Canis lupus familiaris: one gene and its partners. The protein of the gene in region 4 interacts with the protein of the main gene of each other region in a pairwise test. Links are inferred from orthologs where the notes say so. Each region holds a gene or a part of one and is shown on either strand. Other genes may lie near its edges.

Region 1 (4,124 bases), on a different chromosome or scaffold from region 4:
CACCTACCCTTTAAACACCCTTCATTTGGCTTTTACTGGTTTCTAAGCTAAAACAGGTAAACTTTAAGTTGTAGGGAAACATTACTGACTTTTCCCATCTAAGCTCTATTATAGGCTTTGAATGAACTAGAAAAGATACTGCCAAGAAAATGATTCCAATCTCTACATTTCCTACCTGAGAGGAAATAAATGCAAAATAACCAAGCAAGTATTAATTAATGACAGGGTGGGAACTACAGTATGCTAAGCGGGAAATCTGTTTTATTTTTTTTTAAGATTTTTAATTTATTTATTCATGAGAGATGCAGAGAGAGGCAGAGACATAGACAGAGGGAAAAGCAGGCACCCTGCAGAGAGCCTGATGCGGGACTTGATCCAGGACCGGGATCACACCCTGAGCTGAAGGCAGATGCTCAATCACTGAGCCACCCAGGCATCCCAGGAAATCTGTTTTGAACTGGGAATTCACAAACACACCTGAAGCCAATACGGAACAGGTGATACACAGGTATGACTTGGGAGTGTGGACACTAGAAACTGTTAAGTCCTAGCCCCATTCAGCACGGGGTCCATGGTGGGCTTGGGTAATAATATAAACAAACAGAGACCCTAATAATAAGTCACTGTTGCTGACTCAAAAAAAAAAAAAAAAAAAAAAGTCTGCAGAAGATCCAGGAAGAATTTTAAAATGAAGTTGTCTTTTTAAAGTCCATGGAACCACCCTAATGCCCCTTCATATACACCCACTTTGTATCCATTATGCCTCTGACCACTGCAAGCAGGAAACAAAGTTTTGGAGTTAAAAGAAACTGGTTTCAAGTTCTGGTTCCACTACATAGCAGCTGAGGGACCATGAACAAGTCATTTAACTCCTTGACGCCTCAGTCTTAGGTAAAATAGGGTATTAACAATCACAATTATTTAAAGGCTCATAGATCCAAATGCAGCATGAAACTGCTGTGTAACCTACATAGCATCACAGAAACCTTAGTGGTTGTTTTTACTTAAAAGTGGTGGGAACCATCTGGCCATTTTCATCTCCCTGACCTTGCTTCTACCACATTTAGCCTCTCACCAGAAGGCAAAATCAAAAAAAGGTAAAACTGACCTTGGGATAAAATAATAGTTTTTACACCCAGCTGCTCATCAAAATCACTTGGGAGAGCTTGTTAAAAATAGAGCTTCTTCTGCTCCAGACCTAATGAATCAGAATCTCTAGAGATAACAAGGTGCAGAGCACTGAATGGTCCTGAATGATATAGAGGACAAGTATGGGCACTGGAATATCGAAAATAGAAGCCTGGCTACTTATTCCTCTATGATGTTCATTCAAATGAAGTTTTATTTAAGTATAAAATGTTTATTCTGATTTTCATCCCTTTTTTTTTCTTTTCACTCGTTCATGTGGTGATTCAGGAGCTTTCAAGACACCTAATTTTAAAATATCAATCTCAAAAAAAAAATATCAATCTCAAAATAAATAAGTTAATTAATAAAATAAAATAAAATATCAATCTCCTTCAACATACTTTCAGGGACACCGCACAAGATAACCACCAATTGGGTTCAAAGTCCCAGCAAAATTCATATGCTCGGTTACTGCCGTGTCAATTCAGTTAGACAATTGTTAATTTCTGCCAACTGCAAAAGTTAACTGCTGATGCTCACAGGGTTGCGTGTTCCTCTTTAAGACACTCCATCACCAGTTATTATGAAGCTGAAAGGAGACTCGGAGTTGAACCAGCCTCAGACATTTCACAGATCAGAAAAATAAGGTGAAGAAGTCTAGAACCAGGACTCCCAGATTCAGCACTTGAGAAGAAAAGACTAACTGTAAAAGACCAACCCTTCCTTAGCAACATGAGAAATGCCATTCCTTTTCCAATGGACTCACAGGCTGAATTTTTTTTAATCCCTTCCTGTAATTTTGATGAGCCCAGGGCTCCAGGGTGAGAACCATATTCTGTCATTTTAATACCGTTACAAAGTAGGTTCTGTAGTCTCACTCACCCAAACCAAACACTCCATCACTATGGTCTTTAGTATAAACCAGATCAGAATAAAAGCGGGGGGGGGGGGGGGTCGCAGCAACAAGCTTAGTGTCGATGAGGAGTAGGTGCTGACATCATTTAGGAACTGTGAGCTGCAATGAAGCTTTTTCTGACGACCTTAGCCCAGGGACGGCTCTTTCTAAATTGCTAAAGAAGATTCCGCTCCTTTACCCTCCATCGCATCCTGTCACACCTTAGATCAGTCTCCGGACTGTCCAACAGTAAACTATGTGGAGGGGCCCTGACTTCCCACCAGCTCTATCAATCCAGAGCGCTGAGTTGGCAGGTGCTGGACAAAGCATTATGATCCGTAAGTGTGACTTTCCCTTCGCCCAGTCTACCCAGCAGGTGGATTGCGGCCTCGAAGATCCCAGGAGCCGTCCGGCCCAACGTCTCCAGGCATCAGGCCGGACCCTCCAACCGCCGCCGACCTGGGCACCCCGCCAGAGACTGAGCGCTTCCGAGCTGCCCCGGGCTGCGCCCCGCCGGAAGGACTCGGCCTCTACACCGGCGGACGCCCGAGGCCCCAGCCAGGGGAGCCGGCCTCGCCCAGCCTGGCTGCGCTCCCGCCCGTGCCCCGACGCGGCCCTCACTTGTGCGTCTGCTGGTATAGCGGCTCCATGTCGCCGGCCGCGCCGGGTCCGGCCCTGGCTTCCTCGGAACACGTCCTCACAGAGCCCTTTCCGGTTTCCGGCTTCCGGCTTCCGGTCGCAGGACCCGCCCCCTCCTGCCAGCCAGGGCTGCCCCCACGCGCGCCCGGCTGGCGGTGGTGGCGAGAGAGGAGGAGGGTAACGGGAGAAGAGGCCCGGGCAAGAAGGCCAGGTGTAGTCAGAGGCGCTGCGGCAGATCGGGGACGAGGAAACGTGGGTTTGGGCCGGGGGCGGTCTTCAGCATCAGCTCAGGCGTTGACCAGGGCAGTCGGAGAGGACCGACGTGGGGTCCTCAGAGCCCGGCTGCAGCAGAGCAGGTGGATGGATCCCTGCCCTTCCCTGCGGTTGGCTTCGCCGTCGACTGCTCCGCTCTGGGATTGGATGGAGATTTCGCTCATCGCTGTAGTGTCTGCCCCGAGCTTCTCCTCTGTCAAATCTGTCCGCTTCCTACCCTCCCCGCCCGTCCCCCCCTCCCCATTATCCTTCCAATAAACTCAAAATGAATGAGCGGTTAGTTACTATGTGTGCAGTGGGGGAAACCGGGCTCCTCTTGCCCTCCAAAGAGGTCGCGGGCTAGGAAGTAAGATAAGTATACAAAGAAGTCCAGACAGGCTGAGCTGAGCCGGGGTCAGCCCCGTCGAAGAGTCAGGAAAGACTCCTAATGTAGGAGGTGGCATTTGAATTAGGACTCGAAGGATTGGGACGCTTCGGTCTCTCTCTCCACAGAGACCTAACCCGTGTCCACCCTCCCAGGCTTATCTGCAGTTCCTTCCAAGGGAGGAGATGTTCCTCTTCCTTTGACAAGTTGATGCTTTTATTTTCCTGTATCCTGGAGCCCACCCAGTTTTGTGTCCTAAGAGACTGTCCACCCATGTACATTCTTTCCCAAACATTTTCCCATTCTAATTATTAATGAGCACCTACTATTACCAGGCACAGATACTGGGAGCAGGATTACAGGAAAGATAGCCTTCAAATATCTCTTCTCTCGTAGTCTGTTGACAGAGCTAATTATGCCCTCCAGCTACATTATCAAGTAGAAAAGTGCTACAGTTGATACAAAGTACCTTTTTTTTTTTTTTTTCTGGAGAAAAGCAAGAAGAGTTCGTGGATGAAAGAGCCTATGAATGGGGCCTTCAAGAATCAAGTGTTTTGTTTTTTTGTTGAAGAATCAATAGAATTTTAACAGTGTCTTGCACATGCTAACCCCTCTGTAAATGTTTATGTTTAAAAAGATTTATTTTTTTGAGAGAGAGCAGCTCACTCAGAGGGTAGGGGCAGAGGGAGAGGGAAAGAGAGAATCTCAAGCTGACCCCCCACCCAGTGGAGCCCAATGCTGGGCTCTGTCCCAACACCCATGAGATCATGACCTGAGCAGAAACCAACAGTCCCTCAACCAACTGAGCCACCCAGGTGCCCCTGT
Region 2 (3,977 bases), on a different chromosome or scaffold from region 4:
GTCCTGGACCAGCGGATTAGCAACAGATGACGTTGCAGCCCCCTCCCACCACTAGGAACAAGTGCCAGCAATCTGTGCTTCCACAAGCCTGCCAGGTGATTCAGATGCCTGCCCAGGTTAGGAAGCCACGGGCAGAGAGAAGCTGAAGCAGATGGGTCAGGTCGCGTGCCTGTGTTGGTAAGCCTCCTGGGGTTACGTGTACCCGTGCACACACGTTTCTCTGTAAGGGACTACGCGTTGCACTAATCTTACGAAGGCTGTAAAACATGTTGAGAATAGGAAAGGGACAAAGGAGAAGAGAAGCTCCCCTGTTCTTCCAACATCCCGCTGAGGTGGTGGGTGGGGGCTCCTCCTGACCGCAGCCAGGTGATGGGGTCCTGCTCGGGTCCTCACCTGCGGCAGTAAGAGAAAGTGGCATTTGGCGGAGGGAGCAGGTGGGCCTCCTACGTGGCCATCGCAAGGTTTTCCCGGAGAAAACTGCCTTTCCCACGGCAATCCTTTGTGGACAGGCTAGCCCGCGAGAGCCGGGCCCGGTTCCGGGAGCCTCGGCGCCGCGGCAGTCACCGCAGCGGGGCTCATTTTTTATGACGACTTGTCAGTGCGTGAACAAGCTATTCATGCTCCTTCGATGTTACTGAAGCTTTAGCATTTTTGCCAGAGCTGGTGCACGTGTACTGTTAGATTATCTTCGCTTTTTGTTTATCGATTTTTTTTTTTTTTTTAAAGATTTCATTTGAGAGCAAGAGGGGCTGGGTGGGGAGGTGCGGACCCCGGGGTCGGGACCTGAGCACACGCTCCACCGACTGGGCCACCAGCTGCTTTGATCAACGTTTTATTTTTATTTTTCTATTTTTTTAAAGATTTATTTATTTATGATAGAGAGAGGCAGAGACACGGGCAGAGGGAGCAGCAGGCTCCATGCGGGGAGCCCGACGCGGGACTCGATCCCAGGTCTCAGGAATCGCGCCCTGGGCCAAAGGCAGGCGCTAAACCGCTGCGCCACCCAGGGATCCCCTGATCAATGTTTTAAGGGAGACTTTTGAGGCCCAGTTTACCTTTCCAGGCTTCCTGGGGCGTCGCTCCCGCGCCCCGAGGCGCCGGCTCCCCCGCCGCCCTCCGCCGCGGGCGCTGCGGCAAGAGGCCCCGCCCCGGAAGTCGGGCCCGCCTCGCCCGGAAGTCAGCCGTCCCGCCCCCAACCCCGGAAGTGGGCGGCCCGCCGCGCGCCGCGAGGTCCCGGCTCAGCGCCCGCGGGGTCGTGTGTTCGGTAGGCGCGGGGGTCGGGCCGCCGTCGGGGCTGCGGGCGGGCTGCGGGCGGGCTGCGGGCGGCGCGTGGTGGCGGGAGCGCCGGGCGCGGGGGCCCTGGCTGTGGGGAGCCGCTGACCCCCGCGCCCGCCGCCGTTCGGGCAGCCCGGTGCCGCGCCGCGGAGCCCACCCTCGGTGCGTGCGCGGAGAGCCCGGAGCCCCGCCTGCTGGGTGCCAGCCGCGTCCGCGCGCCTCGGTCCGCGGGCCGGCAGCACCCGCCCCCGGCCCCTCCCCCCTTCCCCCGTCGGTCCCCCCTCCCCCTCCCTCCCCGCCGATCCCTCCCCCCGCCCCCCCGCGCCTCGGCCGCCCGAGGACGCTCGCAGTTCCCTTTCTTGGCGGGGACCGCGCGCTCCGGGAGGCTGCGCCGGGGCGAGGCTCGCGTGCTGCTGGGGCCGCGGGTTCCCGGTGCCCCCGGGCCGGCTCCCCGCGGGCGGGCGGTTGGACCCCAGCCGCGGTCTGCCCTCGCCCTTCCCCAGCCCGTCTGCGTCGGAGCGCTGCCCGCCCAGGCCCGGGATGTACATGCAGGTGGAGTCCCGCAGCAGCTCCTGCCTCCATCTGAAGAGGGCTCCGGGCATCAGGTCCTGGTCTTTGCTTGTTGGTAAGGATTTCCGTATTTCCCCCAAGCTAAAAACCTAACTTTAAAAACACGGAAACAGGGATCCCCGGGTGGCACAGCGGTTTGGCGCCTGCCTTTGGCCCAGGGCTCGATCTTGGAGTCCCGGGATCGAGTCCCACGTCGGGCTCCCGGTGCATGGAGCCTGCTTCTCCCTCCTCTTCTGTCTCTGCCTCTCTCTCTATGATAAATAAATAAATAAATAAATCTTAACTAAAAAATAAAAAAATAAAAACAACGGAAACAAAACTGTCTTGTTGCCCCCAAGTACAACAATTATCTCATATCTTTCTAGCTTTTATCCTCCGTGCGATTGTCCTTTTTCCACCTTCACCTTAAGGTTGTGCCTGTTCTCCCGAGGTCCTGGTGTTCTCCTTTTCCTTGCCTCCCAATGCCCGGGTGCGGGCGTCAGGCTGGGCGGTGGGCCCCAGTTCGCTCCTTCACTGTCCCTCTGGGCGTCCAGCACGCGGGGGCAGCTGCAGGCCATTGGTGGGCCTGGTGTGAGGAGTGGTGTGGCTGTGCCTTCAGCAGCCTGCCTCTGGTCCGTCATTCCCGACACCCTGCTCGTGGCCACCTGCCTGTAGTGCTTCATGTGCCACACGTGGTCCTTGCGCACATGCTGCGCTGGTAGAGTAAACCCCTGCTGTCCGGCTCCTCCCTCTGGTTCGCTGGTCAGCCCTGGAGCCCCAGGTAGAGGAACAGATTCCCGGAACGCAGAATGGCATTTGCCATGGTCCCAAGCGCGCCTCCTGCCTCTTGCCCTCCTTCCTGAGCCATGGTCTCTGGTTCCCCTGCTCCCCACCTCCAGGCACCCTGGCACCAGGAAGGCCTGCTCTCCCTGCACCTCTGGGCCTGTGGCTCCAAGTGAGGGGGCCCTAGGCCGCTGGTGGCCCAATAGAAGCACCTGCTTTCTTTTCTCTTTGCAGGAATCTTGTCCATTGGCCTGGCTGCTGCATACTACAGTGGAGGTGAGGTGCATCCCCCTGCCTCCCTCCCCTCCCCCCTCCCGCCCACCCTGTCACTTAGTCTGTTTGAGAAATAGAGAAAAGAGAGAGAGAACTCACCATTAGTGGTGCCCACTGAGCCCCAGCCTTTGGGGCCACAGGCACCTGTGCAGGTGCTGCCCCAGCCTGAGCACTGGTGCATCCTTCCTAATAGCCTGTCCCGTGCCACCTGTGCTCTTCCCTTCTCGTATCTGGAGCACTTTCCCTGGTGATGAAACTTTCTTAAAAGGTGCTCTTGTATTTGCCTGAGGCTGTTGCAGGCTAAGCCACACTTGTAGCTGCTCCTGCAGGTGGCTCCCTCCACCGTCACAGTCACACCGTGTCTCCAGCAGATGCTGCAGGGAGAGTGGAGGGCACAGAGCTGGCCGGACATTTCACATATGGTTCCAAGTGACAGGCAGGGCCAGCAGTGCCGGGCGGCCACCCTGGGCCAGGTCTGCTGGCCCCAGGTGCCACCCCTGCCCGGTATCGGCTGGCGAGGGGGCCCATGGCACGCAGGCCTCCGCCCGCTGCTGCTGCCCCTCACCCGCTGCCTGTTGTTTGCTCTGCAGATAGTTTGGGCTGGAAGCTCTTCTATGTCACCGGCTGCCTGTTCGTGGCCGTGCAGAACCTGGAGGACTGGGAGGTAAGGCCAGCGCAGGCGAGGGTGGGGGCGCCGTGGGAATCACCGCAGGGGGAGAGGCTCAGAGGCCTCACACACCCCCTGTCCTCAAACTTCAGCTTCGAGGTTTCTGGTTAGTAGGACTCAGCCCCTGGGCAGAGGGATCCCCCGAAGCTGTATTTCTCCTAGACGCGCTTTGCGACTGCTTCCACCGAATTCCTTGCTCCGTGGTGTTGCCGTAGCACGGAGCAGATTGAAGGTGCCCTGGGTGAGGGACCGTCTCCTTGGTGGGCCCTTCCTGAGGAACCACAGGACCCACGGTTGCTCTCTGGCCCCCACTCCCGTTTAGTGACCTCAGCTTGGGGAGAGCACCTGCTCTGATGCCTCTCTTTGTCTCCACGCCCCCTGGCCCCGTGCTCCCGACACGTGGGAGCCCAAGAGGGTGTGGCTGTAGGTG
Region 3 (4,203 bases), on a different chromosome or scaffold from region 4:
AAATGTCAATATTGTTACTTTTGTTGGTTCTCTTCAGCGAACTGATCTTTCTGCTTCATATCTCCTCCTGAGACACAAGGTGGGAGAGGGTAGTGCTAGTGGTCTCTAGGATGGAAACCCAGTTTGTATTAAGTCACAACATAGGGGCCAGAAGCTAGGAAGCCTGAAGGACCCATCAGAATGGCTTACATGCAAACTGGTGCAGCCACTCTGGAAAACAGTATGGAGATAGTTGAAAAGAGAACTATCCCAAACCTAGCAATTGCACTACTAGGTATTTATCCAAAGAAAACAAAAATAGTGATTCAAAGGGGCACATGCACCCAAATGTTTATAGCAGCAATGTCCACAACAGCCAAAATATGGAAAGAGCCCAGCTGTCCATCCACAGATGAGTGGATAAAAAAGATGTTGTGTATATACACAATGAAATATTACTTAGCTATCAAAAAGAATGAAATCTTGCCATTTGCAAAGACATGGATGGAACTAGAGGGCATTATGCTAAGTGAAATAAGTAGGTCAGAGAAAGACAAATATCACATGATTTCACTCATATGTGGAACTTAAGAAACAAAACATGAACACAGAGGAAGGGAAGGAAAAATAAAATAAGATGAAAACAGAGAGGGAAGCAAATCATGAGAGATTCTTAACTGTAGGAAACAAACTGAGGGTTGCTGGAGGGGAGATGGGTGGAGGGATGGGGTAACTGGAAGATGGGCATTAAGGAGAGCGCTTGATGTAATGGGCACTGTGTGTTCTATACAACCGATGAATCACTAAAGTCTAATCCTGAAACTGGTAATATACTATATGTTAACTTTAAATTAATTTAAATTAAAATTTTAGGGATCCCTGGGTGGCTCAGCGGTTTCCCACCAGCCTTCAGCCGGGGGCATGATCCTGGAGTTCCTGATGCAGTCCGGCTCCCTGCATGGAGCTTGCTTTTCCCTCTGCCTGTGTGTGTCTCTCATGAATAAATAAATAAAATCTTTTTTTAAAAAATTAAAAATTTAAAAAATGACGTTTATTATTATTATTTTTTAAAAGAATAGCTTCAGAGTAGGGAGGACTCAAAGAAAACCCGGTTCCCATTGCTCCTGGAAACCAGCTGAAGAGGAGAGTGAAAGACCCTCCCCCACGGTGACCCTTACGTGTTGGCTGGGACATCCTTGCTTTTCCGTCAGGGGTTCCGCAGAGCAGGTGTGGGGCCGCACTCCGTGCAGTCGCAGAGGGGGGACTGTCGCCTTCCGCAGCCCTAGCTGACCCGCAGGTTTCCAGCCGGCCCTGCGCCCCCGCTCCCAAGTGAGGATGCGGGGGTGCCCTGAGCCAAGGGCGGTGGGGGGGGGTCCCCGGAAAGCCAGCTCCAGCAGGCCCGCAGTCACGTGGCCTGGTGGGTGGGGACGGACCTGAAGTTGCAGAAGTCCCGAGCCATCCCAACTCTGAAGGGCGCTGTAGACGCCGGGACTCCCGGAGGGGCGCGGAGGGAAGGATTTGGGGCATGGCTCAGCTGGCGGTGATCCCCGGGTCGGCCACGGCGTGGCCAGGTGAGCCGAGTCGGGAGCGGCGCGGCGGGCGTGGGGGAGGCCGCCGCACCGTGGGGCCCCCAACACCCTATCCCGCTCCAGGGGATGCGGGGCACCCACAGCGGGGGAGGGAGGCTGGGTAAAGCGGCCCTGGCCGGCCCTCGGCGCTCTGAGTCGGTCCGGCCCGCGTCGCCCCTCGCGGGCCCTTCCCTTCACCGACGTGGCGCGGAGAGCCGGGTCCGCCCGGGACGCGGGAGAGCGGCGCGCCGGGCGGGGGGGGCGCTTGCTGGCCCCGCCCCTCCGCGCGCGCACTGGCTGCTCCCCGTGACGTCACGCTCGGCTATAAAATGCTCGGCGCGCGGCTCTCGCGGCGCCGGAGGAGCTCGAGGCTGAGGGCGGCGGGGGAGCGGGGAGCGACCGGGGTCGCTGGGCCGCGGGCGCCTCAGCGATGTTCTACTCAGGGCTCCTCAGCGAGGGCGGCCGCAAGGATTCGGACATGCGGGAGGCGGCGTCGCTGCGGCAGCAGCGCCGGATGAAACAGGCCGTGCAGTTCATTCATAAGGACTCCGCCGACCTGCTGCCCTTGGACGGCCTCAAGAAGCTGGGCTCGTCCAAGGACACGGTGAGCCCCCGCGGCCGCGCCCCTCTCGGGAGGCCCGCGCGCGGCGGCCGGTCACCTTCGCGCCGTGCGGTCTCCCCGGGCCCGGCCTCGGCCGCTTTCACTGAGTCACCGGCCGGGCCCCCGCGCCCGCCCCCTCCGCCGCTGCCCGCTGGCTCGCCCTTCCTGTCCGGATTCCCCTCCGCCAGCATCTCCTTGCTTCACTTTCCCTCGGATTCCGTCGTAGCTCCACCAGCTCTCGCTGCCTTGCGCTCTGCCTCTCCCCTTCGTGCCTCTCCCTTCTTGTGTAGGAGACCCTGTCCTGCCTTCCGGCCCTCTGGTCGCTTTCCTTCCCGTTATTCTTCCTCGTAGTACTGAATGTGATTGCATGATTGAGCCTCGCTTGGCTGGGCTGCTTGGCCGGTCCGGTGACCCAGACAGAGGTGACTCCTAATGGGTGTGGGAAGGGGGGGGTTCTTGGCAGTCACCATACCCAGATGATTTTGTTAAATCCATTCCCCACTATGCAAAATCTACTCCGTTTGATTTTTGGGCTTATCTATCTTAACCTTCCATCCTGGGGGGCGGGGGGCGGGCAGAAAAAGGGTCGAATGTGAAGGAGGTTTCTTGAACCCCAGGTATTTCTTTATCATTCTCATCTCTCCCCCTACTCTTATTCCTACCCACATAGAGTGGCTAGAGAGAGGAAGCCAGGCTGCTCCATCTCACTGACCAGCTAACGTCTGGAGCTAGAGCTGAAGCTGGCGCAGGCTTTTTTTTCTTGCAGGTTTCTTGAGGGTTCGCCTTAAGAAGGAGAAACCCCAGGGCTGGAGGTCTGGATGCAAACACTATGCTGTCCTCTCCAAGAAAGGGGATGAATGATTCAGGGTTACTAGTTTAAAGAACTGTATTTGACTCTCATCCTTCAGTCACTGTAGTGGTACTGGGCCAAATATATGTTTAACTTTGTGGTTTTATCTGGAGTTTTCTTATCTTTTTAGATTTATTTATTTGCTAGAGAGAGTGCGAGTATAGGCATGCGCACACGCACAAGTGGGGAGTAGGGGGTGGGGGAGGGCAGAGGGAGAGAGAGAATCCTCACCCAGACTCCCTGCTGAGCGTGGAGCTCAATACAGACTAGATTCCAGGACACCAAGATCATGACCTGAGCCAAAATCAAGAGGCAGCTAGCTGCTTAACCACCTGAGCTACACAGGTGCCCCTATCTGGAGTTTTCTTGTGGTTTACTTGTTTCCTTGAAGTTCACAATCACTTTATTCATCTGGGCAGTAACTTGTGAAGCATTAATTGTCTTTTAAATGAGGTAGATGCTCTGTATAATTTTTTCAGTACTTTTTGAGATTTGGGAATATTTAATTTGACAGGAAAGGAAGAGTGTTGGCCTGGTTCACTGAAATTGCCATTTCAAGCCCCAGATGACTATGGAAGGGAGAACTTCTGAATCTGCTGCTTTTTCTTAGTATCTCTAATAACACAGAGATACTGATATCAGATTTGCCCTCACCCATTGTGACAAAAATAATTTCAGTTGTTTTTGAGCAGGGGATGGCTACCCAGTTATTTTGCTCTGTTTTTTTCAAAGGTAGTTTTTCTGCAAAAGCCACAGGATAGTCAATATAATTTATGCTCACTCTGAGTGGTGAGTGACTGAAATGCATTCCAAGAAAAGAGATAACTCTCTTTCTTCCCTTCTTTCAAGTTAAAGCAGTGTAGATTCATTTAGCAAACCAGGTCTAAGTCTTCTTGCCTTCAGGCCAAAATAATCCTAGTTCCTAGAAACCTCAGGAACAAATAAAGAGAGAATATTTAGAAAAAGAAGTAAAATCTGGAATGTTTTTCTTCCCCTTATGCTGGATTTAAGAAATGATTGACATTTGGTTATCCTGGGCTGTCAGAGTTCCCTGGCCCTGAGGAACTACCGCTCCATCCTTCTGCTTAGCATTCTGTGTATTACTTCATCCTGTGTAGGAAGAATTCCATCTGCTTTTCTGACTCCAGTCTGTGTCAGTTGAGCCACAAAGGAGCTGATAGCATAAAACATAGGCAGTAGGCTGG
Region 4 (4,195 bases):
TATAAATCTTTTTTAAAAATTTAGAAATGTGGCTACTAACAATTTAAAATCACAATTATGGCTCACAAGTTGGGCAGCACTGCTCTATGGACCAGGAACCAGAGTGAATACAACAGACTCTCACCTCACGGAAAGTATGTTCTAGTGGGAGAGAGAGAAAAAAACAGACAAACAGATGTCTGTCCGTGCTCTGAGGAGAAGCAGGAGAGGGGAGTGAATGTGAAAGAAAGCTTTTCAAAGGAAGGAGAGATCTGAATGAAGTGAGGGGAAAGCCTTAGGGAAGGGTGCCCTTCGCAGAGGGTACATATAGCGAGTGCAAAGGTTTCTGCTCCAGCTTCCGCAGAGCAGACAAGATGTGGTGTCCACACAGGTGGGCACACAGCGGGCCCTTCAATGACAGCTAACTCTCCCACTCCAACCCTGCACCAAGGTGGAGGCTCAGACACCCCAAGCCACCTCTCTCAAGTCCCTGAGGCACAACGTGGCACCCACTCCCCAACTGCTTCCCTCCTCATCCTCCCATGGGGATAAAAAGGGGATAGCCACCTACTTTTTGCAGCAGGGCCACCTGCCTGGCCCTCTGGAACGTCCATGGGCCACCCCGGTCGCTCTGCAGGTGGTGGAGAAACTAAAAGTCTGCCTCCATCCCTGGGAGGGGCTGACAAAGGCTCGAAGGCTCTGAGAGCTCCTGGAAGGACAAATGGGCATAGCCTCCTCAGACCAGCCACCCCGCCCCACCTGTGCCCCAGGCCGCTCTGGGTTCCCAGAACCTGTTTGCCCACCCCTGCTTCCACCAGAGCAGCTCCCGCTCAGACCTGTTTTATGGATTGGAGGTGTGGGCTGGGGAAGGGGGGGGGCGAGGAGTGGGCAGCAGAGATCAAAGAGTGGCTGGGGGTGGGGGTCACTCCCTCCTTGCTTCCCTTCCACTCTTCCTGTCAAGTCCCTAACCTGGTTTCTCTTTGCCCTACGACTTTATCCTGTCCACTCCTCTCCTTCCCTACATCTCTGGGCCAGGCCCCATCCTTTCCTCCTGGACCCTCATCCCATCCTCCCAAGCCTCCCGGTCTCCAGACTTTCCCCTCCTATGCATCCCCACAGGGCCCCAGAGCTGACCTGCCCCTCTCCTGCTCCCATGGCTCCCCAGTACCCCAGGGACAGAACCTAGACCCTGGACCCAGCATCGAAGGCCCTTTCATGGCCTGGCCCTGCCCACCTCCGCAAACCCAAATCACACTTGCAGTTCCAGCAGCTCTGAACTGCATGCTCTCCCCCACACCGGCATGGCTGTTTCCACCCCCCCCCCCCCGCCCCCCGCCCCCCGCCCCTGGTTTCTGCCTGGGACAATCTCCTTTCCAGCCCTTCCTGTCTTGGCTCACATCCCCCTACTCTGGGAAAATGTTTCCGAATGAGCTGCTGTGTCTGGATTCTCACACTGCCCTGGGTGACTGACATTCTGCTATATCAGCCTGTTTTAGGAACTGTTTGGCTCCCATGTGAATGTGACCCCATCTTTTTCCTACTCCGATCCCTGCCATGGATCCCTAGCGCCCTCAGGACTAAGTCCTAGCCCTTCTGGCTCGTGTGGGACAGAGTGCTCTCTGCAATTCTTTGTCTCTTTTTGTCATTTTTCTCTCCTCTGGCTGACCTCCAGGGCCCTCACCCTCATCACAACTATGGCACTTGTGGCCCCTGCTCTGGCTTACAGCCTCCCTGGGGAGCCTTCCCTGACTCCCCGGACCAGTTAGGGACTCCCTCCTCTGTGCCCTGACAATGACTTGTCCTGCCTCCATTATAACCAGCTTGACTATATGACTTACTGTCCCAATGCCAGGACACTTTCAAGAGCAAGAATGGTGCTATTAATAATTACGCCGGACAACACTGCCCATCGGGGCTGAACTGGGCACACTAGGGCAGATGGTCAACATCAGGTCACCTAGGGCCTGTCTGTCCTCACCCCACCCGCTCGTCACCCCTTTCCTCTCCAAGTGCTCCCTACACCCTGCTCTCCCTGGCCTCAGCCGGCTCCACAGCCATGGAGTGCACACTTCCTGGAAACTTTTAGAATGTCCTAGAAAAAGCGGTCTTTGAAGGGAGACCTCCAGGTTTGGACAACGCTGGAGGGGTGTCGGGGTGGAGGTGGGGGTGATGGCTATGGGGCCTGAGTAGTGAAAGGTCTGGCACTGGTAGCCCCGGATAGGGACTTGAGGGGAGGAGGGAGAGTGAGGGAGGGTCTTTGACAGGCAGGCTAGAGCAGGAGGAGGACACAGGCAGGATTTAAGGGGGTCTGGGTCTTAAAGGGGTCTTTGAGCAGGTTTCTGGGGCGTCTCTGGATTTCTGGGGGTGTCTGACTGGATTCCAGAGGTCTCTGACAGGATCTGGGAAGGTACTCTGACAAGAATTTTGGCGGGTTTGACGAGACTTCTGGGGATCTCTGACAGGACTTCGGGCAGGGCGGGGGTGTCCCTGATAGTATTTGGGAAAGGAATAGTAGTATGGGGGGGGGGTAGCTCGGCAGGCTCTGAGGGAGAAGTCTGACCGAATTTCGAGAAGATTCTGAGGAGATTTCAGGCGTCGTCTATCGGATTTCCTGGAGAGTACTTTTCAGTATTTCTGAGGGTGTTTGGTCAGGATTTCAGGAAAACCTTTTGGAAGGCCTTGATATCGGAGATGCTCCCCCACGATTCAGGAGCTCCAACAGGGCTTCTCTCGGGAACCTCGCCGCCGCCGGGGCGCACCTGGGCCCACGTACGGCCGGACACAGCGGGAGACCACGACTGACCAACGGCAATTGGGTAGCACGGAGGTGCGCGTGCGCCGTGCCACCAGGAAAAGACAGGGGGCGGGGCGGGACCGAGAGCGCGCGTGGTGTCTAAACCCCGCCCCACCTGGGCTCCTCCTCGCGACGCAGGCGCGCACCGCGCTCGCTCCTGTCTGTTACCTGCAACCGCGAGGCCGCGCATGCGTAGGGCTACCGGGGCGCGCACCCGGCCTGGTGGAGCGGGCGCATGCGTATTGGCCGAGCGGGTCAAGGCTGCGGGGGTTACCGCGGGTAGGGCACCGGAGGTGTCCCTGCGTCCTCTGCGCCGGGATCTTCTCCTCTCAAGCTTGAGTGTAATGGGCCCAAGTAAGGGAGAGTTGGATTGAGGCACCTCTTGTCCATCCCCTACTTTTTATCAGCTACTAAGTCATGCCCCTTTGCCGTCTGTTCTGTGCCAGGCTGCCCATCACCATCACAATGATGTCCTGCCCTGTCTTGCTCTAGCACTCCCGCGCCCTCTGGGGCTCCAGTCACCATATATTAATAAATCCCTGAAGGAGTCTTTCTCAAACCGTTTCATTCATCCTTTATAGGAGAGAGTGGGGGAGGAAAATACCCTGTTTTTCCCATCAGACAAGAGAGAATTACACCCAAAATTGACTCCCAAGAAGGGGGATTTGGGACATAAGATGTGCCAGCCATCCGTCTGCCTTTCTGCTAGCAGAGACACAGAAAAGGTTGCATCCCACCATCATTCATTCAGCTGTCACGTCCTCAGACCTTCCCCGGTCACACTGCTGCATTGGGCCCCCTTCTCACTAAACACTTACAATTTCTTAGTGGTCCTCATGGCATGTCTCACAACGTGACATGTATATCTGTGTACTGTCACCCCACTGGAATGTGAGCTATATGCAGTAGGAGGCTGTTTTGGGGCTACAACATGCCTGGCCCAGTGTGAGGGCTCAAAAAAAAAAAAAAGTGTTGAATGAATAAGTGAAGGAATGGATGGAATCCAAACCTCTTAACTACTGGGCAGTATAGAATTTATGACAAGGCTGTGAGCCCAGAGGCAGACATTCTTGGGTTTGAATTTTGGCTCTATTAACTTTGTTGGCACAATGGCTTACCCTCTCTGAGACTCAGGTTTCCTCTCAGAAATGGAGATAGTAATTGCTTCTTAGGTTTCCTTGAGCACTTAAGGTGATAATCGCTGTTAATTGTTATTATCACTGCTATTAGATGGTGACTTGTCATAAGGTCTGGGAAAGAACCTGTTTGACAGGTGGTGTGATGAGTGGTTAAAAGGGTGAGATAGGGAATCAGAAAACCAATGCCACTGCTATGTGACTTTGGCAAGTGACCTCACCTCTCTGAACTTCAATTTTTTCTTTAAAATGGGAACAAATAGTATGCACCTCATGGGGTCTTGAG
Region 5 (3,979 bases), on a different chromosome or scaffold from region 4:
CACCCTGGGAGACACACCCAGGGACAGCACTTGATTTGGGACAGAACCCTTGGGCTTGGAAATGAATGGAAAATGAGGGCTACAACAAGAAGGAAGGGTGTGCATAGAGGAGGAAGGGTAGTGGCAGGAATTAACAAGAAAGAATAGAGGAAGACAAGAATACAGGGCTATAAAAAAGAAAGGAGGCCAGAGAGAGCTGAGGCTTCTGAGAAGTCTGAGGGCTGCTCCCTACCTGTTTGTGGTGCCTTTCGGGGGACCCCTTGACAAGGCAGCTGCGGCTGAGGCGGAGGTAGCCCCCCAGAACCAAGATCTCCTCCGCAGTCGGGTACCGCTTCTTCCCAACTCCAGGAACTGCAACATCAGCCGCGGCTGGGGTGGCGGGAGTGCTGGGGGCTGCTGGGGGCACAGACCGCCGGGGGTTGACTGTGAAGGTGTGTCCACTGCGGCGAGGGGTCCCCACCCCTGGCCCTGCCTTCACCCCATAGAACAGACGGTTCATGAGGGGATCCCCAGGGGACTGGGGAGCAGGTGGGGCTGGGGGTAGGGGAAACAGAGGGGCTGTTGGTGGGGGCCGGAGATCCACCGCTTCCTCTTCCTGCCTCGTAGAGCCTTTAGTCCCAGCGTCCTCTGGTGGGAAGGGGGAGGGCACAGAGCTACAGTTCTGCAGGGTTCTCAGAGGCCTGCTCAGAGCCCCTGCCTTCTCCTTCTCAGCCTCCCCTTCTCCAGCCTCTGTACCAAGAGGCCCCAGATACTTCTCAGCAGCCTCTGGGGGTTTCTGAGGTTGAGTCTCTGTGTCCCTGGGTGTCCGTTCTCGAACCTTTCCAGAGTTCAGGGTCCATTTCCAGCCTTCTGTCAGCCTCAGGCCCCTCTCACTATCCTCCACAGGGCCGGGCCTTTGCTCTGCTGCCTCCACCTCTCCAGAGCTGCTCTCTGGAGCCTCCCTTGTCAGGGTCTCTGACACCTTTGTAATCTCTTCTGAGGCCAGTGTTGGAATTGGTCTCTCTTCTTTTCTCCTACATTCCTCCAAACAGTCTTTTCTTTCTTCTTCTGAGCTGGGCCTCCACCCTGATGCCTCCCGTTGTACCAAACTCTGTTCCTGAGACTCTCCAGAGTCGGGCCTCCATTTATGGGACTCTGACAGCTCCAACTTCTGGTTGTCAGATTCTGCGGGGCTCAGTCTACTTTCCACCACCTCTTTTCTCCTGGGGCTTTGTTCTGCAGGCTCTGCCAGTCTCAGACTCCACTCTGGAGTTTCTCCAGGGCTCAGCCTCCATTTCCGTGCCTCTGACAGTCTAGAGCTCCTGTCTCCAGACTCTCCTGGGCTCTGCCTCCAGTCCCAAGCCTCTGAAGTTCTGGGGCTCAACTCTCGGGCTCCCCCTATCCCCAACTTCCTCTCTCTGGCCTCCCTGGGACTGAGCCGCTCTTCTTTTGAGTCTCTTCCCTTGGGGCTCTGATCTCGAATTTCCCCAGGACTGGGTCTCCTCTCCCGGGCCTCCAAAGGCCCAGGCCTTCTCTCTGCAAGTAACTCTTCATTGCGCTGCTGCTGCTGCTGCTGCTGGCGCTCCTGCCGAATGAATCGGTTCTGGTGCACCGGCCCAATGGCTTCTAGGAGGACAGCCGACTCATCTGGGTCTGGAGGTCCAGCCTCTGTAGTCCCAGGGGCAGGGCTAGGTTCTCCAGGAGACAGACCAAGCTTGGCCCGGCGGCGCTCCAGGATTCCCCGCTTCCAGGCTGGCATCTGGGACAGACGATCCCGCTCAGCCTTCTCCCGGCCACGAAGGGCCGCCTCCTCCTGCCGCCGTCGGGCCAGCAGCTGTAGCTTCCAGTCCGGGATGGTAGCCATGGTCGCGCGGAGGTAGGGGTGGGAAGTGCTGGGCTAGAGAACAGGAAAGAGAGGCTCCAGAGGTCCTGGGGGTAGGGGGAGGGGAAGCAGAGGGGCAGAGGAGGGACACCGAGATGGGCCCAGGCCCGGGAGGGGAAGAGTGAGAAGATGGAGGGCAAAGTAACGGGGAAACAGAAAGTGAAAAAGCAGTGGGCCCGGCGGAGGTGGCGTCGCGGCCCTGAGAGGAAGAATAGAGATTCAGGGCGAGGAGACAGCAGTCAGAATTGGCAGCGCGGGGTTCATGGTATCGGGGAGGCCCGAGGATGTGAGCGGAGAGAAGGGCGGAAAAGGAGTCGTAACGAGGGAGGCGAGAGCCCGGAGCGGCCGGGGAGCGGGGGCGGGGGCGGCGCGAGGAGGAGGACCAGGCCGGGTTTCCCCACCGCCGCCCCAGAGGCGGGGGGCGGGGGGGGCGGGGAGGGGTCCGGGAGTCCCGCCGGGAGGGAGCCGGGACTGGAGCGGCGTCGGGGAGCCGGGAGGAGCCGGCGTCCGGGGAGGCAGCGGGGCGCGGGGCGCGGGTGCGCCCACCCCGGGGCTCCCGGAACCCCGGCGCCCGCCCCCGCCCCTCCTGCGGCAGCCCCCGGCCCGGGCCGCGCCCCGGCTCCGCGCCCCGGCTCTGCCGCCAGGCCCGGCTCCCGGCTCAGCGGCCCCGCGGAGCCCGCCGTCCCCCCGGCTCGGGGCGCACCGACAGGCAACCGCGGCTCGACGGGAGGAGCCCGAGGTCCGCGCCGGGGCGGGCGGCGCGAGACACCCCCGCCCCGAGGCCGCAGCCCCGCAGCCGACTCACACGCGCGGGGCTCCCACGGGAGGGGTGCGGAGGAGCAGGCGTCCGAGGGAGGAGGAGTGGGACCGAGGGAGAGCCGGAGACGCGGGCGGGGAGGCGGGAGGGTGACCGCGACCCGGGGCCGGGCGGGGGGCGGCGACCGCTTTGTCTGAGGACAATGGGGAGGGAAGGGGGCGCGGGCGGGGCGGCGCGGGGCGGGGCGGGGCGGGGCGGGGCCGGCTCCCGAGCCCGCGCGTGGGCCCCGCCTCCCCGGCTCCCCTTCTCGCGCCCGAGCCCCGGCCCGGCCCGGCCCTCCTGCCGCGAGCCCCGGAGAACGCAGGTGTCCAGGCCCTGGCCCCCGCCCCGCCCGCCCCGCCCGCCGCGCCCGCCGCGACTCAGGCCCCTCGAGGGACTCGCAGAGGAAGCAGCCGCTGCCCCGGCCGGGCCCGCCCCTCCCCAGGCGGTGGCCTCTCCCGGCCAGCCTGCGTCACTGCGGGGTCCCGGGCGGCCACCCGGAGACGTACTCGGAAGCCCACGGCTTTGGTAACTGGCCCCCACGACAGCCGCTGCCCAGTCTTTAGCTTCAGCCCGCGTCCCATGGGTCCCGGTCCACGGCGGGGGAACTGGGGACTTGGAGGAAGGGGGCTGGGCCTCGGGGGTGTGCCCGAGGGGCCGCCGCCCAGCGGTCGCCAGAGGGCGCGGTGGCCGTCCGGACTCGACTTCGGCGTGCCTGGGCTCTGCTGGCCTTCCTTCCAAAGTCAGCCCTCTAGTTAGAGACACACTGATGGACTGCATGCCATATGTAGAAAAAACGGGCTGAATTTTATTTTTCCGCCGCAGACGTTCCTCGGGAGGGCAGAGATCTCTTAGTCACCAACATGAAGGGCGGGAGGATCCTCTCAGGTTAGAGGACAGAGCCCAGGGCCAGCGCCTAAGGAGGGGCAAGGCCTAAGGAGGGGCTAGGTGAGTCAGCAGAGCTGGCATTACCATCAAACCTGCAGACCCTGATCCTACTCCTAGGAAGGGAAGCCTGAGGGGGAGAAGGGGATCCCTGAGGTGTAGAAGGGAGCAACAGTGGGAGGGAAGTGGGCAGGCCCACCCTTCTTCCTTAGAAGGACTGTTCTTAAGGTGGGGTGGAGGTGGGTCAAGGCCTAAACTGTGAGGAAATACTGAAGTTCCCCACCCTTCCTCCGTGGTTTGGTGAGAAGTAGATCTTGGGGTCCAGTGGTTGAAATTCAGGATTAGGGTATGGAGCTGGGCCCAAGGAGTGGAGGCTCAAACAGGGGAAGGGATGGCCCCTTCAGTCCATAGATTTGGGCCTCTGGTCTGAAGCAGCC

The links.
Region 1: the proteins of KASH5 (region 4) and GOSR2 interact in binary tests that used the Homo sapiens proteins (3 or more experiments, as listed by UniProt). The two-hybrid records come from large-scale screens. The link is inferred for Canis lupus familiaris from reciprocal best matches to the Homo sapiens genes KASH5 and GOSR2.
Region 2: the proteins of KASH5 (region 4) and CYBC1 interact in binary tests that used the Homo sapiens proteins (3 or more experiments, as listed by UniProt). The two-hybrid records come from large-scale screens. The link is inferred for Canis lupus familiaris from reciprocal best matches to the Homo sapiens genes KASH5 and CYBC1.
Region 3: the proteins of KASH5 (region 4) and NRIP3 interact in binary tests that used the Homo sapiens proteins (3 or more experiments, as listed by UniProt). The two-hybrid records come from large-scale screens. The link is inferred for Canis lupus familiaris from reciprocal best matches to the Homo sapiens genes KASH5 and NRIP3.
Region 5: the proteins of KASH5 (region 4) and PPP1R18 interact in binary tests that used the Homo sapiens proteins (3 or more experiments, as listed by UniProt). The two-hybrid records come from large-scale screens. The link is inferred for Canis lupus familiaris from reciprocal best matches to the Homo sapiens genes KASH5 and PPP1R18.

The regions. Positions count from the first base shown.
Region 1 is NC_049230.1:16,663,473-16,667,596, forward strand, and holds the start of GOSR2 (Golgi SNAP receptor complex member 2), read right to left. Parts: upstream 2,801-4,124; 5' UTR 2,674-2,800; coding exon 2,645-2,673; intron 2,434-2,644; exon of another isoform or gene 2,245-2,433; intron 2,169-2,244; exon of another isoform or gene 2,011-2,168; intron 1-2,010. UniProt on the Homo sapiens protein: Involved in transport of proteins from the cis/medial-Golgi to the trans-Golgi network.
Region 2 is NC_049230.1:760,152-764,128, forward strand, and holds the start of CYBC1 (cytochrome b-245 chaperone 1), read left to right. Parts: upstream 1-1,177; 5' UTR 1,178-1,264; intron 1,265-1,778; 5' UTR 1,779-1,815; coding exon 1,816-1,900; intron 1,901-2,841; coding exon 2,842-2,883; intron 2,884-3,470; coding exon 3,471-3,544; intron 3,545-3,977. UniProt on the Homo sapiens protein: Functions as a chaperone necessary for a stable expression of the CYBA and CYBB subunits of the cytochrome b-245 heterodimer. Controls the phagocyte respiratory burst and is essential for innate immunity.
Region 3 is NC_049242.1:32,954,991-32,959,193, reverse strand, and holds the start of NRIP3 (nuclear receptor-interacting protein 3), read left to right. Parts: upstream 1-1,403; 5' UTR 1,404-1,504; coding exon 1,505-1,550; intron 1,551-1,899; exon of another isoform or gene 1,900-1,977; coding exon of another isoform or gene 1,978-1,990; coding exon 1,991-2,151; intron 2,152-4,203.
Region 4 is NC_049222.1:107,771,335-107,775,529, forward strand, and holds the start of KASH5 (protein KASH5), read right to left. Parts: upstream 2,801-4,195; 5' UTR 2,540-2,800; intron 690-2,539; exon of another isoform or gene 689-689; 5' UTR 594-688; coding exon 551-593; intron 142-550; exon of another isoform or gene 125-141; intron 1-124. UniProt on the Homo sapiens protein: As a component of the LINC (LInker of Nucleoskeleton and Cytoskeleton) complex, involved in the connection between the nuclear lamina and the cytoskeleton.
Region 5 is NC_049233.1:625,434-629,412, forward strand, and holds the start of PPP1R18 (phostensin), read right to left. Parts: upstream 2,801-3,979; 5' UTR 2,667-2,800; intron 1,877-2,666; 5' UTR 1,844-1,876; coding exon 233-1,843; intron 1-232. Other genes in the region: NRM (nurim), read right to left, coding at 3,542-3,573.